Linked DNA regions of Caenorhabditis elegans. The protein of the gene in region 1 purifies or fractionates together with the protein of each later gene. This does not show direct contact. Each region holds a gene or a part of one and is shown in the gene's direction. Other genes may lie near its edges.

What was found.
Region 2: the proteins of rpn-1 (region 1) and nduf-9 fractionate together in Caenorhabditis elegans (co-fractionation; one large-scale study listed by BioGRID). This does not show direct contact.

What each region holds. Positions count from the first base shown.
Region 1 is NC_003282.8:6,903,873-6,911,794, reverse strand, and holds rpn-1 (26S proteasome non-ATPase regulatory subunit 2), read left to right. Parts: upstream 1-1,881; 5' UTR 1,882-1,890; coding exon 1,891-1,989; intron 1,990-2,050; coding exon 2,051-2,775; intron 2,776-2,822; coding exon 2,823-3,762; intron 3,763-3,837; coding exon 3,838-4,677; intron 4,678-4,723; coding exon 4,724-4,834; intron 4,835-4,879; coding exon 4,880-5,021; intron 5,022-5,070; coding exon 5,071-5,159; 3' UTR 5,160-5,375; downstream 5,376-7,922. Other genes in the region: ribo-1 (Dolichyl-diphosphooligosaccharide--protein glycosyltransferase subunit 1), read right to left, coding at 1-884, 948-1,112; T22D1.17 (Col_cuticle_N domain-containing protein), read right to left, coding at 5,416-5,535, 5,625-5,798; T22D1.5 (EF-hand domain-containing protein), read right to left, coding at 6,396-6,553, 6,606-7,105, 7,154-7,269, 7,319-7,523, 7,570-7,715, 7,767-7,817.
Region 2 is NC_003281.10:3,241,553-3,250,285, reverse strand, and holds nduf-9 (NADH dehydrogenase [ubiquinone] 1 alpha subcomplex subunit 9, mitochondrial), read left to right. Parts: upstream 1-1,710; 5' UTR 1,711-1,712; coding exon 1,713-1,873; intron 1,874-2,002; coding exon 2,003-2,213; intron 2,214-2,502; coding exon 2,503-2,558; intron 2,559-3,123; coding exon 3,124-3,466; intron 3,467-6,427; coding exon 6,428-6,582; intron 6,583-7,187; coding exon 7,188-7,305; intron 7,306-8,170; coding exon 8,171-8,422; 3' UTR 8,423-8,569; downstream 8,570-8,733. Other genes in the region: Y53G8AL.4 (Apple domain-containing protein), read left to right, coding at 442-515, 734-919.

The sequences.
Region 1 (7,922 bases):
TTCTCTACAACAATATCATTGAACACATGATCGAACAACTTTGTTTTGAGAGCATACTGATTTCCTTTGCTGTACAAATACTCTTCCGATGGCAAATTGTATCCGATGACATACGACGTCTTCCATCCTCCAAAGAGTGGGAATCGTGGACGAATCTCAACGTCAACGCTGTCAGCACGGATTCGTACAGCGGATGTAGAAATGTTTCCGATCTCATCACGATAATAGATATCTTTAGCTTGAGCAGGAAGAACTGTGGTAAACTGTTGGAGTGCTGGTTGGCGACGTCCACGACGGTCCATTTGGTAATCGATTCTTGAGAATGGACCATCAAGCTCAGCTCCCTTGTGAACCAATTCAATGTACTCCTCCACAGCGATGTTTCCCCAGTGAGAAACCTCGATGAATCTTTCCACGATGGTGGCAATAACGAATGGCGAGTTATTTTCATAATGAACTTTGACTGGTTTCGTCTCAAAAGCTGGGATATTAACATATGGTCCGTAGATGACACGTTCCGTTTCTTGTTTCGATGGAGAAACTGTGGTTGCGGATAGAAGCTTGCCTCCTTGAGTGGTTCTAATAGTTGTTTTTTGGGTCACAGTTTCGTACAGGGAAGGAACGTATGCAGATGTGTGAAGAACAACAAATTGACTGTCAGATTGCTGAATCTTGGATGGGAGTGGCTCAAGTACTTGTGTGATACGAAGATTGATTCTTATGGTAACTTTGGCTCCCTTGGCAACAGGAGTTCGGAGGTCTACTTCGTAAACTGCAAGATCCTTTTCGGCTGGTTTTTCAGAAATTTTCAATTTTCCTTTGCTTCCATCGATTCCAGCAGAAATGAAAGAAAGAGTAGCAGATTCTTCTTTAGACAAAGCAATCTGAAAAATAAAGTTGAAATATAGGAAATATAGTGAATTTTCAGGAAAAATATATCTACATACCAAAACTTTCGATTGAGGTCCATTTCCAACGTTCTCAAATGAATACAATGTCGAAACCTTGACAATTTGTGACGTGGCATCGATGGTTCGGTCAACATTAGCGGCTTTCCAAGCGTCTTCAGCGAAAACCGCCCCCAGGAGAGCGATGGCAAATAGCAATCGCATCTGGAAAAATTAGATATACAATCAAAAATGCAGAAAACCCAAAAATGTCATATTAAAACGTTTCAAGAATGAAATTCGACTGATCGAGCAAGACGACATCTATTTGGAATTTAATTAATCAGCTCGTGTTAAAAAATTATCTATTATTACAATCTCAGCACAGAGTAACTTTATTTTGTCACAAAATCATTTAGCAGCAAAAATTCGCATGTACAGACTAGAAAAATGATATTTTTGTTTGGTGAAATCAGCAAAATTCATTATAAGAGCAAATTTCAAGTGTATTATATTGATTTGATGCATAAATTCTGCGAAAATCTATCTTTAAATTACAATAATTTCAGCAAAAAAAAGAGAAAGACGTGGTAAACTCGTCCACGTATTTTGAATCGGAGCCATTCGTGGCGAGACCCACCAGCCGGCATGATGACTGCGCCTTTAAACAAAGTCTGTTCAAATTATCATTTTTTCCGCGAACCGGCGCGGATTTTCAGATTTTCTAATCCAATTGTCATCGTTTTGTTGTTTTTTTATTCTTTTATTCGGATTAGATGTATTTCACTCTTAGTTTCTATTCCTTTTTTCCAAACTCTGACTCTCAAAATAGTTATTTTTCGATGTTTTCATAAAGTTGAAAAATATTCACGTTTTCGAGGGAATTAGTATTTGAATACGCTGTTATAGTTTCTTCGTGACTTAACTGTTTTGTTAATTCTATAAAATTCATTTCGAAATCTCAGCTTCTCTTTCGAATACATATATTTTGAAGGATCGAAAAATGGTGGCGACTACTCAACAGACACCAAAAGAGGCGGACAAAAAGAAAGCCGACGATAAAAAAGTTCCCGAGAAAGCTGAGCCAAAAAAAGAAGAGATGGTTAGTTTAAAGAATAACTATTGTTTAAGCCGTAATGAGACTTATAGCTTATTTATTTCAGAGCGAAGAGGATCAAAAACTCGAGGAGGATCTCAATCTTCTTGTTCAGCGTTTATCTGAACCGGACACAACACTTTACAAGCCATCACTGGAGACTATGCGGACATTGATTCGTGCTTCAACCACATCGATGACCTCTGTTCCAAAACCTCTCAAGTTTATGCGTCCGCATTACAATAAAATGAAGGAGATTTTCACATCGATCGTGGCGCCTGACGTTAAGAAACTTTGCGCAGATATCATTTCAGTGCTCGCAATGACATCAGATGAGCGAACCGACACGATCAACTATCGTATTCTTGGATCACACGAGCCGATCGGGGATTGGGGACATGAATACGTTCGTCATTTGGCGATGGAAATGTCAGAGGAGTGGAAGAAGGAAGGCACTTCGGATGCGAGAAAAGCTGAACTCCTTAAGTTGACTCAGGATATTGTCAGCCATCACATGAAACACAACGCAGAAGTTGAAGCGTGCGATTTGCTCATCGAAATTGAGCGTATTGATTTGCTGATCTCTTATGTCCAAGAAGTTGATCACCAACGTGTGTGCCTTTATCTTCTTTCATGTGCCCCATTGACTCCAGACCCGGATAACATTATTCTTATTCGCACTGCTCTCCAACTCTATTTGAAATTCAACCGGTATCTTGAAGCTGTTAGATGTGCTATCATGGTCAACGATATTCCACAGGTTCATCAAATATTTGCGAAGGCATCTGACCCGTAAGTTAAATATAACGTCTCTTACTTTCCTAAAGAAAAGTTTTCAGATTGCTTCGAAAGCAAATGGCTATCTTGCTCGGTCGCCATCAGATTTTCCTTGACTACGAGGGATCTGCAGATTCGGATGCTCTTGCCGAACTGAATTCCAATGCTCATCTCTATGAATACTTCCACTCCTTGGCTCGTGAGCTCGACATTATGGAGCCTAAAACTCCAGAAGGAATTTACAAATCTCATTTGGAACATTCCCGGCCATTCGGAAACTCTGCTCAGCCAGACTCTACTCGCATGAATCTCGCCGCTGCGTTGGTGAATGGATTCGTGAACTGTGGATTCGGAGTTGATAAAATGATGGCTGAAACAGAGGAAGCCTCCAGATGGTTCTACAAGAACAAGGAATATGGAATGCTTACTGCAGCCGCCTCACAGGGTCTTATCTGGAGATGGGATATCGATACCGGCCTGGCACAATGCGACAGATTCTTGTATATCAATGACGATTATATCAAGGCTGGAACCCTTTTGGCTATTGGTATTATTTCCTCTGGAATTCAAGATGCTTGTGACCCTGCTTCCGCACTTCTCCTTGATCATGTTCAATCTGATCGGTCAATTATGAGAGTAGGATCAATTCTTGGACTTGGACTTGCCTACGCTAATTCCAAAAGAGAAACCGTTACAAAGAATGAGGAACGCGGTGTTATTTTCGAGCTCAAGAAAGTTCTTTCTGATCAAAAGCCATCGGCTATTCCTGAAGTTAAAGGACTTGCTGGACTTTCTCTTGGCCTCATTCTTGTTGGAACTGCTGATGCGGAAGCTGCGATGGAGATGCTTCAAGCTCTAATGGATAAAAGCGAAACTGAGCTCACAGATCCAAATATGCGTTTCCTTGCATTGGGAATTGCATTGATCTTCTTGCAAACTCAGGACAAGAGTGATGTGTTTGTCGAAAGTCTCCGTTCACTTCCTGATCCATTTGGAGCGATGGTAAGTATTATTTGTTCTAGATCACCTCGAGTTTTGGCTATTCCCTTGTTCATATCATAATGAATACAATTTCAGGTTTCTACGCTCGTTGAAGTTTGTGCATACGCAGGAACTGGAAATGTTTTGAAAATCCAGAAATTGCTCCATCTCTGCTCTGAACACTACGAGACGCCAGCAGCTGAGAAGAAAACTGCCGCTTCTCGTGGACCGCGTGGACCAGCCCCAGCTGCTGCTACACCTGCTCGTCCTGCTGCGCAACCTGGAAATGTCAACGTCGCTGGCACTCCAGCCCCAACTGGAACACCCGCCGTTGCCCCAGCTGCTCCGAGACGCGACCTTCCAGGAGCCGCAAGTGCTGCTACACCAGGAGCTCCAGAGACTGCTGCCGCCGACGCTACTCCAGCACCACCTGCCAAGCCAGACTTGTCATCGCAACAGGCGGTTGCTGTACTCGGAATTGGTCTGATTGCTATGGGAGATGACATCGGATCTCAGATGGCTCTTCGCATGTTCGGACATCTCATCAGATATGGAGAACCAGTTATCCGTCGTGCTGTTCCCTTGGCGTTGTCACTTCTCTCCGTCTCAAATCCTCAATTGAACATTTTGGAAACTCTGTCCAAGTTCTCTCACGATTCTGACGCTGATACCGCTCACAATGCTATTTTCGCGATGGGACTTGTTGGAGCAGGAACAAACAATGCTCGTCTTGTTGCTATGCTCCGAAACCTGGCTTCTTATCACTACAAGGATCAAGTTTCTCTAATGCTGGTCAGAATTGCACAAGGACTTACTCATCTCGGAAAAGGAACAATGACGTTGAACCCATGGCATTCTGATAGGCAATTATTGTCTCCAAGTGCTTTGGCTTCTCTCCTTTCAATTTGCTTCTCTTTCCTCGACGCCAATAACACGGTTAGTGCAAGATTGATATTTCTACCATAATTTATTTCAAATTTAGATTCTCAACAACCGTCAGCATTACTTGCTCTACACGTTGGTGCTCGCAATGCAACCAAGAATGCTTACCACACTGGTAGAAGACGAAATGAAGCCTGGAAGCTTGAAACAGGTATAATTTTTTTAAAAGTTTCAACTCTCCAATGTGATTTTACAGTTGAACGTTTCTGTTCGTGTTGGTCAAGCCGTTGACGTTGTTGCTCAAGCCGGAAAGCCAAAGACAATCACTGGATTCCAAACTCATACTACGCCAGTCTTGCTTGCCCATGGTGAACGTGCCGAGTTGGCGAACGATGAATGTATGCCATCCTAACATTTGATAATTAATTTTTAACTAAAATATTTCAGATCTCTCTGTGACTCCACATCTTGAAGGATTGGTTATTTTGAAGAAGAATCCAGATTATCAGCCGGTTGTTGTATCAACTAAGAAGTAACCAACAAATTTATGGATCTAATTTATTTTTCTCCCCCTTTTCTCCCATCTAAATTATCCGTTTTGACCCGTTTTATTGTGCACAATCCGATTGCATTCGCTCTCTGCCCGATTTCCCGTTTTTCTGTCAATTTTCCCTCTCCCTCATCATTTTTTCTTTGAAAAAAACGTGTACACTTTAAATTTGAGTGGGACGGTATTCGAGTAAATTATTACTTTCAATCTTATCATCCTGGGTTTTATATATGTATTAATATTTATTGATCACAGGAATTTGAAGATCTTCTAGGTATCCTTATCAAAGTATCGAATATATCAGAAAATCCGTCAAGGTGGCGATTGTTCGACATTAGATTTTCAGCATCGTTCGCATACATCTGGAAATAAAATTTAGAATGTTCAAATGTGAGTTTGGAAATTTTAGTTTTTCAGTTTTTAGAAAAGTTTAATGAATTATTACACTCACCTCAAAAGTAGCCTTTTTATCCATAAAAACATCTTTCATTTCATCAATTTCATTAATAATATCACTTGTCAAATATATAACAACAAGTGTCATAATTGCCATAAAACATAAAATTCCAATAGCAGCAAAATCAGCGATGAAACGAAATTTGTATAAAAATTCGGATGTATTCATAGTTTCGAAAAAACTATAAAGTTTCAAAATTTGATGTATTAAATGGAAAAGTAATAGAAAGAAGAAGCAAATGACCAATACAATTAGACAAAGAATTGAAAACTACAGAAAACAGGTGATAAAAGATAAGAAAAAGTGAAGAGATTTAGAGATATTTGTAGAGACTAACCAGTTTGACGAACTATAGAAGTGAATTGTGTAAACTTTTAGACTTTTTGTGATTCAAAAAAAAACAGTTTGAACATTTGAAATCACAGTATTATTTAAAGGTGCAGTGTTTAGCAAAAAATTATCGTAACGAGACCCGGTCACCATATTTCCGGCACAAAAATCTAACAAATAATGTTATAAGCCCATTTCATAGTTTTTAACATTTCCCACCAATCTAATCGTTTTGAAAACCCATTAATTTTTTTCAAAAATATTCTTGCAGGTTCAGTAAAACGAGATGAGCAGGAACAATCTTATTGTTTACATGAATCCGCCTGACATTTTACAAGAATACTGAAATTTGTGAAAATTGCACATAAGATATGGGACCAGGCGATTAAATACAATAGGGAATGATTATCTGACATGATTAAACTTTAGGATTACTTAAACAGGATTTATTGGTTCGTTATTGATGTTGAACGACCCTGATGATGACGTGCTGGATTGAGCATAGTAATCGTCAAATTTGTGGTCGATCAAACGTTGCCAACGAGTCCGAACCATCCCAAATTCCTCATCATCTTGGCGTTCGGTGTTCGTTTCTGAAAGCAGTGTTATTAACATAAACAACCATTTTATCTTATTAAAACATACTCTCACAAATTTCCTGCTCAAGAAAGCGAAGAGCGCAGACAAAGCCATTGATCACTCTGAAGGCAAGTTGCGAGTTCTTTTTGAATGATTGCAGATTCCATTTGTCTGTGCCAAGGATGTCCCGAAATTGAGCGATAGCGTTTTCGAACGGCAGGGATTGCACATTGTTATTGACAAGAAACTTTGTGATGGCATCGTAGAACATCCGCAGGTCGTCCAATTGAAGGATTCCTGTAGATTGCACATCAAGGACGCGGAACCAATACTCGATCGATTGATTCTCGTCAGTCCCAATCATCGCAAATATGAGCCACGTCACTTCTTTCGTATCGAGATAGTTTCCCGTTGAACGACGCACTAGGTTACTCGAGAAGATTCGGTCGACGATTATTGTTGGAATACCGGTTTCGTAGCAGTAAATGGCGATGGCATTCGAATCAAATATCTCATCCCATTTGCCAATATGATTGAGCTCGACTGCGCAGAGTTGTCCGGTGTGCCTACAATTTTAATAATTAAATGACTAATCTGAGATTATAGCCGATTACTTCATGTACCAATCCTCGCATGCATAACGCACGTAGTCATTTAGAAGATCTTTAGTCTTAACTTGAATCGTTCCCGTCCACGTTCGCCCAGCAGTCCAGAGTATACGCTCAGTGACCTGAAATGTTATCGATACACAAAATTAAATTAGAAAAATAGAAAATTACAATGATCGAATACATTTCAGCTTCCTCCTTTGAACAGTCCGTTTCAGTCAGTTTCCGCTCGAAAATAGCTGACTGCAATTCTTCGCGTGTGATCACTTCTGAATACGACCGCACTCTTTCGAAAATTGATGAGTTAACAAACTCCAAAGCAGTGTGCATTGAGCACGAAGATGTACTGCTTTCATTTTCGAGTTTCGTCGCTTCTCTGTAACAAAAAATCATGTTTAAATAAATCTGATGATTCAACAAACATGTGCGAATCATCGACTCCAGTGATTGCTTGAGACGTCAGATTTCCGCTGGAGTCATCCGAGCAAGAGGACCACGACTGATCGCGAATCGGAGCTCTCATTCTCGTGAGTTTTGGTGATGACGTGGCAAGCGGGGAAAACAGATGCTGAAAATTTCCAAGAATGAAAAGTATATTCTCCTGAGCTGATAAACATACCGTCGGGAACTTCACATCAATAACAGACTTCATCTGAATCTGCTGGCTCATTTTCACGTGGGATGAGCGTATTTGAACACTGAAAAGCAAATGCTTAAAATGTTATAATTGATTTGAGACAAAAATTCTGGATAAAAAAGTGAAAAAGATGTAATA
Region 2 (8,733 bases), on another chromosome or scaffold:
TTTTCACAAAAAGTGAAATTTTTCCGTGAAGAATCTATTTTTTTCAGTTTTAGTATGAAAAATTTGAAAAATTTCGTTGCTTTTCAATAAAAAACTAATTTTCAGACGTGGCCTAGAAAAATAACCGGAAAAGTTAGGCCACGCAGCATTTTTCTAGAAAATTGCAAATTTTTCGAGAAACGCGTTATGTCTTCACTTTTAATTTTGAAAAACGTGCTTAATTTGCTTTTTAATCAAATTTTTTCAAATTTTAAGACGTGGCCAAGAAAAACCAGCTGAAAAAATAGGCCACGAAATTTTTCTTCGAAAAGCTCCATTTTTCCGCGATTTCGCCGCTGGAAATTAACTTTCGGCCAACGTTTCTGTGAAAATTATTTTTTAAAACTCTAAATATCTGCCAAAAAACCACTGTGGCCTAAACAATTCCATTGATTTTTCCAGTATTCTTCTTACTTATCGTCACGTTTGCCGGATTTTCATTTTCCCGCCCCGACCACCATTCGAGGAACTGCAAAGTAAGTGCGCTCTAGCGAACAACGAAGCTGCAAACGCGCTCCATTGAGAATTTTGCTTAAATGGTGGAAATCTCGGGGGTTTCTGGAGATATATCGATTTTTATTCGATATTTCGCTGAAAAAAATTGAAAAATTTGAGAAAAATCATTCAAAACCCTAGTTTTTCGCCGATTTTTTCCGCATTTTTTCAAGAATTCGGAATATTTTTTGATTTCCAGGCTTACCGACGACCGGCTCTAAACGAAGTGCTCACGAGAATATGCCTACTTTGCCATGAAATGTTTTCAGTCGACCAGCCGAATCTAGCCGCCGAGTGCAGCTCGAATTGCTTCAGGAATCCGGCGTTTAACAAGTGTCTCAACTTTTTTAGGCCGAAATTTTCTCCTTTTCTGGGTTCCACGTGATAAATAAATTGGTTTTAATCGTTAAATTTGAATTTTAATTGACTAAAATTGGTTAAATCGAGAAAAAAAAAGAAAAGAACCACAGTGCGGAGTCGAACCCCGGTGTGTTGCGTGAAAGGCAAAAGAGTTACCAGCAAAGCCACAAAGCAATGTGAACGTAATTTTGAGAGGCGTATACATTGTAGCCATAAATGCTTATTATCTCGATAGCGTATAATATTAATAATTGAGAATTTTGATGTCATTTTCAGTTTAATCTACCAGTATTCTTCTGTAATTTCGCACATTTTGAAGAAATCCCTTGAAAACTTCGCATTTCTATTTAATTCAAAGATTTTAATAATTTTTCTTGAATGTAAAACAAGAAAAGTAATATTTCATTAATTTTTCAACAATTTAGATTGAAAACTCTCTTTAAAACCGCCTTTCTCACCAATTTTTGCTAATTTCAAAGCTTCTCATTCCTCCTTGGAGTACGGTCATCAATCCCCGCCCTTCCAAGTGCGCATTCGAGTCCGCAAACGTCAAACCCGACGCCATATTGCGTACAGGCCAAATTATTTATTTCGGCACCGCGTACTTCATTTTCAGCCATTTTTAGCGGTTTTTCCAGATTTTTTCGCTATTTTCGGTGCTTTTTTGATAAAAAATCGATTTTTTCGACCGGAAAAGCTATTTTTAGCTGGAAAAAATCCCGAAAAAACGCAGAAAACCCATTTAATTCTTAAAAAGTCTTTAAAAATCTTTAAAAATCTTTAAACAATTGCAAATCTCGATTTTCCTAATTTCAGCCATGCTATCAGTGTTGGGTAGATCCGGCTTGGGCGCCCGGCAGGCGGTTTCGGTCGTTGGAAGTCAGAATTTCAGCAGCGCGGTCACCTCCGCCGAAAATGCTCATCCGGAGCCACGTGTCAGCTCTCAGAGTGCTCAATTCAGAAAGGGAGCCGGTGGAAGGTACAGGAAAAGCCTAAGAATGATTTGAAACTGGAAAATGTGGAAAAAATCTAGGAAAAATTGAAAAAACATTGAAAAAAAATCAATTTTTTCCCAAAAAAAATCGTTAAAAATTCCAAATTTTTGCAGAGCCTCCTTCTCCGGCAATGTGGTGACCGTATTCGGTGCGTCAGGCTTCTTGGGACTTCCAGTTGTCAATAAATTCGCGAAAAATGGCTCACAAATCATTATTCCGTATCGCCAGGATCCGTATTACATGAGAGAGCACAAAGTGCTCGGCGAGCTCGGACAAGTCCTCTATTTTCCATTTGAGCTGATGGATGAGGAGAGCATTCGAAAGGTATTAAAATTCGTGGAAATTGAGAGAAAAATCGAGTTTTCTAGGTGAAAATCGAGAAAAATTGGATTTTTCTCTAGAAAATCCAGAAAAAATAGAGTTTTCTCAGTGAAAATCGAGAAAAAATGGGTTTTTCTTTAGAAAATTCAGAAAAAATAGAGTTTTCTCAGTGAAAATCGAGAAAAATTAGGTTTTTTCTCTAGAAAATTCCGAAAAAAAAAGAGTTTTCTAGGTGAAAATCGAGAAAAATTGGATTTTTCTCTAGAAAATCCAGAAAAAATCAATTTTTCAGGCTGTAAAGTACTCGAACGTCGTCATCAACTTGATCGGAACTCGTGTGCCGACTGGGTGAGGAAATTGCAGATTTTTGAGCGGAAAAATTCACAAAATATGCCGGAAATTCAAAAAATTCAAATTTCGCGCCGTTTTTGACCAAATAAATCACTCTTTTTCGCTGAAAATTCGAAAAAATGCCTGAAAAACCTTCAAAATGTGGAATTTAACCCTTTTTTCCTACTGAAAATTCAAAAAATAAATTTTTTTACACCAAATTATCATTCAAAATTCAAAAAAAAAGCTCTTTTTTTCCAGTTTTTTCATTGAAAAACTCAAAATTCCTCACTTTTTCCAACTGAAAATCAATTAAAAATTGAAAAATCCCCTTAAATTTTGAATTTGGCTCCACTTTTTGGCTAAAAATTTGAAAAATGTCCGAAAAATCTTCAAAATTTTGAGTTTCGCGCCGTTTTTTTCACTGAAAATTCAAAAAATATTTTTAAAAAATTCAAAAAAAACTAAATTGCTCAATTTTTCTCCAAAATTTTCGAGAAAACTGCCATTTTCTATTGAAAAATTCAAATTTCCCCACTTTTTCCTTCTAAAAATCCCAATTTTAAGCCATTTTTCCTTGCAGAAAGTACAATTACTATGACGTCAACGACACGGGAGCCCGCCGTTTGGCTCGAATTTGCAAAGAAATGGGTGTGGAGAAATTTGTGCATTTGTCGGCTCTCGGAGCAACTACACAACCACAAAAGGGACATTTTGTCGCAAAATCGCAATTTCTTCATTCAAAAGGACTCGGAGAAGTTGCTGTACGTGAAGAATTCCCAGAAGCAACAATTATTCGCCCATCTGTGATCTACGGTGAATTGGATGGATTTATTCAATATTATGTGTCAAGATGGCGAAAAACTCCATTGGATTATGTGTATTTGTACAAGAAGGGAGAAGAAACGTATAAAATGCCGATTTGGGTACGGAATTGGCCGATAATTCATGAAAAATGACCTAAAATACGTGAAAATTGGCCGAAAATGACTGAAAATGGCTGAAATTTGGCACAAAATTAAATATTTTAACGAAAAACTCACAAAAACCGAGATTTTTTGAAAATTTACGATTTTCACATTAAAAATTGTCAAAAAAATTTTATTTTCCGTTAATATTGATTAAAATTATAGAAAAATCCATTTTCAACCGAATTTTGAACGAAATTAATCAAAATTTCATAAAATACATTTTAAAAAAAGCTCAAAATACGTGAAATTCGCCAAAAATGCTGAACAATTACTTAAAATTCAAAAAAATTGAAGTAATTTGACCAAAAAACTGAATTTTAGTCAATAAAAATTCAAAAATGGCTGAAAATTGTTTGAATATTGAAAATTGGGCGAAAATTCATGAAAAATGACCTAAAATACGTGAAAATCGGCCAAAAATGACGAAAAAAAATTTTTTTTTAAAGTAGAAAATTTCATGAAAATCGAGAAAAATGGTGTAATTTGACCTAATAACTGAATTTTAAAAATAAAAAGTCGAAAATCCGTGAAAATCGGTCTAAATCTACGAAATTTCATGAAAATTCGCTTGAAATTGAGAAAAATGACTCAAAATTCATTACAATAAATCCAAATGAACTGAAAAATGTCAAAATTCATAAAAATTGGCCTAATACAAATAAAATGAGTCCAAATATTTATGAAAAGTCTCGAAATTTCATATAAAGTTGCTCAAAATACGTGAAATTCGCTAAAAATTGCTGGAATTTATTTAATTTGCTTAAAAATTAGAAAAAAATTTCAAAATTCAAGGAAATTGGCATAAGTCCGTCTAAAAATTGAATTTTAAATTTAAAAAGTCAAAAATTCCAACAAATCGGCCAAAAATTACTGAAAATTGTTCAAAATATGACCAATTTTTGTTTGAAAATCGGAAAAATTACTCAAAATTCGAGAAACGCTGTAATTTGCGAAATTTTATGAAAAAAAAGCCTTAAAACCATTTAAATTGGCCAAAAATGACTGAAAATGGCTGAAATTTGGCACAAAATTGAAAATTTTCGGAATTTCACCCAAAATTTCATAAAATTTGATAAAACTAGTCGAAAATTGGTAGAATTTCGGCAAAAATCGTATTTTCACACAGAAAATTGTCAAAAAATTGCTAAAAATGACAAATTTTGACTGAAAAACTTGAATTTTTGCTTAAATTTCATCAAAATGTAAAAATCGGTAAAATTCCAGAAAAATTCACCGAAATTTGCAAATTTTGGCTTAAAATTGTCCATTTTTGCCGAAAAAAAATTGATGGTAGGCGGCGGTAGGCATAAAGTAGGCACAATTTTTTTTTTGCGAAAAAATGCAAAAAATGTCCAAATTTCGCATATTTTGACTCAAAACCTCGGCCAAAAATGGTGTAATTTGACCTAATAACTGAATTTTAAAAATAAAAAGTCGAAAATCCGTGAAAATCGGTCTAAATCTACGAAATTTCATGAAAATTCGCTTGAAATTGAAAAAAATGACTCAAAATTCATTACAATAAATCCAAATGAACTGAAAAATGTCAAAATTCATAAAAATTGGCTTTTAATACAATTAAAATGAGTCCAAATATTTATGAAAAGTCTCGAAATTTCATATAAAGTTGCTCAAAATATGTGAAATTCGCTAAAAATTGATGGAATTTATTTAATTTGCTTAAAAATTAGAGAAAAAAAATTTCAAAATTCAAGGAAATGAGGCTTAAAGTTACCTATAAACGCTGGAATTTGCGAAATTTTATGAAAAAAAGCTTTAAAACCATTTAAATTGTCCAAAAATGACTGAAAATGGCTGAAATTTGGCACAAAACTGAAAATTTTCGGAATTTCACCCAAAATTTGATAAAACTAGTCGAAAATTGGTAGAATTTTGGCAAAAATCGTTTTCTCCTCAAAAATGTAACAAAATTTTCGATTTTCACACAGAAAATTGTCAAAAAATTGCTAAAAATGACAAATTTTGACTGAAAATCTCGAATTTTTGCTTAAATTCCATCAAAAATGATGATTTTTTCAGAAAAATTCACCGAAATTTGCAAATTTTGGCTTAAAATTGTCCATTTCTGCCGAAAAAAAATTGATGGTAGGCATAAGTAGGCACCATTTTATTGCGAAAAATGACCAAATTTTGGATATTTTGACTCAAAACCTTGAATTTTTGCCAAAATTCAATTCATTTTTCGCACAATTTCAGTAAAAATAACTCAAAATTTACCATTTTTTGCCGAATTTTCAACGAAATTGATCAAAATTTCGAGAAAATCGGCGAAAAATCACTAAAAAAATCTCGATTTTCTTGCAGGTTGCTTTTTTAGTTTTTAGTTTTAGTTTAAAAAAGAAAAATCGGCCAAAAATGAGTGAAAATTGTTCAAAATAGGCCCAATTTGTTTGAAAATTCAAAAAATTACTCGAAATACATACAATTCGGCCTAAAACTGCCTATAAACGGTGGAATTTGCGAAAATAAGCGAAATAAAAAAAAAAGCTTTAAAAACGTTTAAATTGGCCAAAAATGACAAAAAATGGCTGAAATTTGGTCCAAAATTGAAAATTTTGAAGAAAATTGACGATTTTTGACGAAAAACATACAAAAAATCGTTTAAAAATGTTATCAATTCCAATTTTCGGTAATTTCCCATATTCACTTGAAAAAAATTGTTGAAACATTGCTAAAAATGGCAAGTATATATATTGAATTTTTTGGTTAAATTCCATTAAAAAACGGTATTTTCGCGCGAAATTTCATTAAAAGGAGTGAAAATCCGTAAAATTTCAAAAAAAATTCACAGAAATTTGCAAATTTTGGCTCAAAATTTACCATTTTTTGCCGAGTTTTCAACGAAATTGATCAAAATTTCGAGAAAATTGGCGAAAAATTCCGATTTTCTTGCAGGTTGGAGACGTTGCCGCCGGAATTCAAAGTGCTGTAAATGATCCAACAGCAAAAGGACATACTTATGAATTTGTTGGACCACACTGCTATCAATTGTCTGAATTGATTGATTTCATGTACAAAAAAGCGCATTGTTTGTCTGATTTTGGATTCAGGTACCCGGTTTTTCGATTTTCCCGCCGAAAATTGGCCTAAAATGAAGGAAAATTGCTAATTTTTGGGCAAAAAAATCATGAAAATTGATAATTTTTAACGAGAAATTCATGAAAATTGGACTTAAAAATCGTGAAAACTGGGTCTCGCCACGAAAACTTTATTTTTTTCAAATTTAAAGGCACATGGGTTGTGCATCAATCAGGAAATTTTGAAAATTCGAATTCTCCTCAAAATTCTAGGCTTGTAGCTTTAATCGGGTCTCGCAACGAAAATTTCACGAGTACAGTAACCCGCGAGATATTATTCCGTGGCGAGACCTTAAAAAATCAAAAAAATCAATATTTTCACTGAAAATTGATGATTTTTAACGTGAACTTTATGAAAATTGGCTAAAAAATATAAATTTAGACGTAAAAATCGTGAAAACTACATTTTTTTTTGGGTCTCGCCACGAAAAAGTTGAAAAAAAAAAATTTCTTGAGTACAGTAACCCGCGAGGTATTGTTTCGTGGCGGCGGGACCCAGGCGTGAAATTTCGAGAAAAATCGCGAATTTTTCAATTATTTTCGTGGCGGGACCCGAGAAAAAGCTCAAATTTTTGCAGATACAAGCGTCACGGAATGCCGGATCCATATTTCATGGCTCTCACAATGGCCACCGAACTCTATGGTAAAGTGTTCAAGTGTAAAGTTCCACTCAACAGAGAATGGATGGAGTTTGTGGTAGGTTTTAGGGCTTAAAATGAGCAAAAACGCCTCAAATTTTAGATTTTTTTAATTAAAAATCGGTTTTCCGCCAAAAATCGGGCAATTTTTACGGAAAAATCCATTTTTTAAGTGAAAAACACTTAAAAAAAACTGATTTTTGAGTCAAAAAATTGGAAATTTCGGAAAGCCTACCTACGCCTGCCTTGTGCCTACCGTTGAATTGTTAAATCAGGTAGGCGTAGGCACAATTTTGAGGAATTTTTTTTGTAGAAGTGGCGGAAACAACCCGATTTTCATCAAAAAAATTCGAAAAAAATCGAAAATTTTTTCAAAATTATCGATTTTTAGTCGAAAAATGGATTTTATTGATTTTTTTTTTTGAAAAAAAAATTTAGCGAATAAAATCGATAATTTACGGAAATTATCGATTTTTTGTTGATTTTCAAAAAATCGATAAATTCCGATTTTCCGACAAAAATTCAAAATTTTCTGAAAATTATCGATTTTTTTTGCTATTTTTGTAATTTTCAGATAAAAATCGGAATTTTTTTAAAAGAAAAATCGAATATAAAATCTTAAAAAAATAAAAAAAATTTAATATTTTTAAAAATTACCGATTTTTTGTCGGAAAAGTGATTTTATCGATTTTTTGTTGAAAAATTTCCGCGGAATTTTTTTTGAAACAAAGATTTCTGAAAATTATTGATTTTTTTTTCTATTTTTCGCATTTTTCAATTGAAAATCGGAATTGTTGAAAAAAAATCGCATAGAAAAATTTCCACCGATAATTTTTGAAAATTATCGATTTTTGATTAAAAAATTCGCGAAAAAATCGATAATTTACGGAAATTATTGATTTTTTCTAATTTTGCATTTTCAGGAAGTACAATCGGACATTTTGACGGGCGAAAGAACTCTCGCCGACCTCGGAGTCCGCCGATTGACTGAATTCGAATTGGCTGGTGGACAACAAGCATTTTATCGATCATTTAATCGATATTTCGAAGAACAATATGGAGAACTTCCGGCTCCATCACTTCCACTTCGTTCACCACCACTTACCAAAAAGAACACTGGCCGAGGAGCAACTGGAATCAAGTCGGAAACGAGCAAAAATGTCGCTTTTAATTAAGATTTTTTTTAATCGATTGTTTTTTCGATTTCTGTGTTGTCTTTGGTAGTTTAAATAGAGCGATTTTAATTTTTTTTTGGTTCTAAATTTTTTTTCTAGAAAAAACTGAATTTTGTATTTATACGCGTAAATGAATCGAGAATTTTGATGGGAAAAATTGGTAGATTTGCAAAAATTCTGAAAAAAAATTATAAGAATCCTGAGAAATTATGAAAAATAAGAAAAAAGAGCACAAAAAATCAGTAAAATCAAATTTCCTTTAAAAAATCGATAATTTTCAAAAATTATCGATTTTTGTCCGAAAATGAACG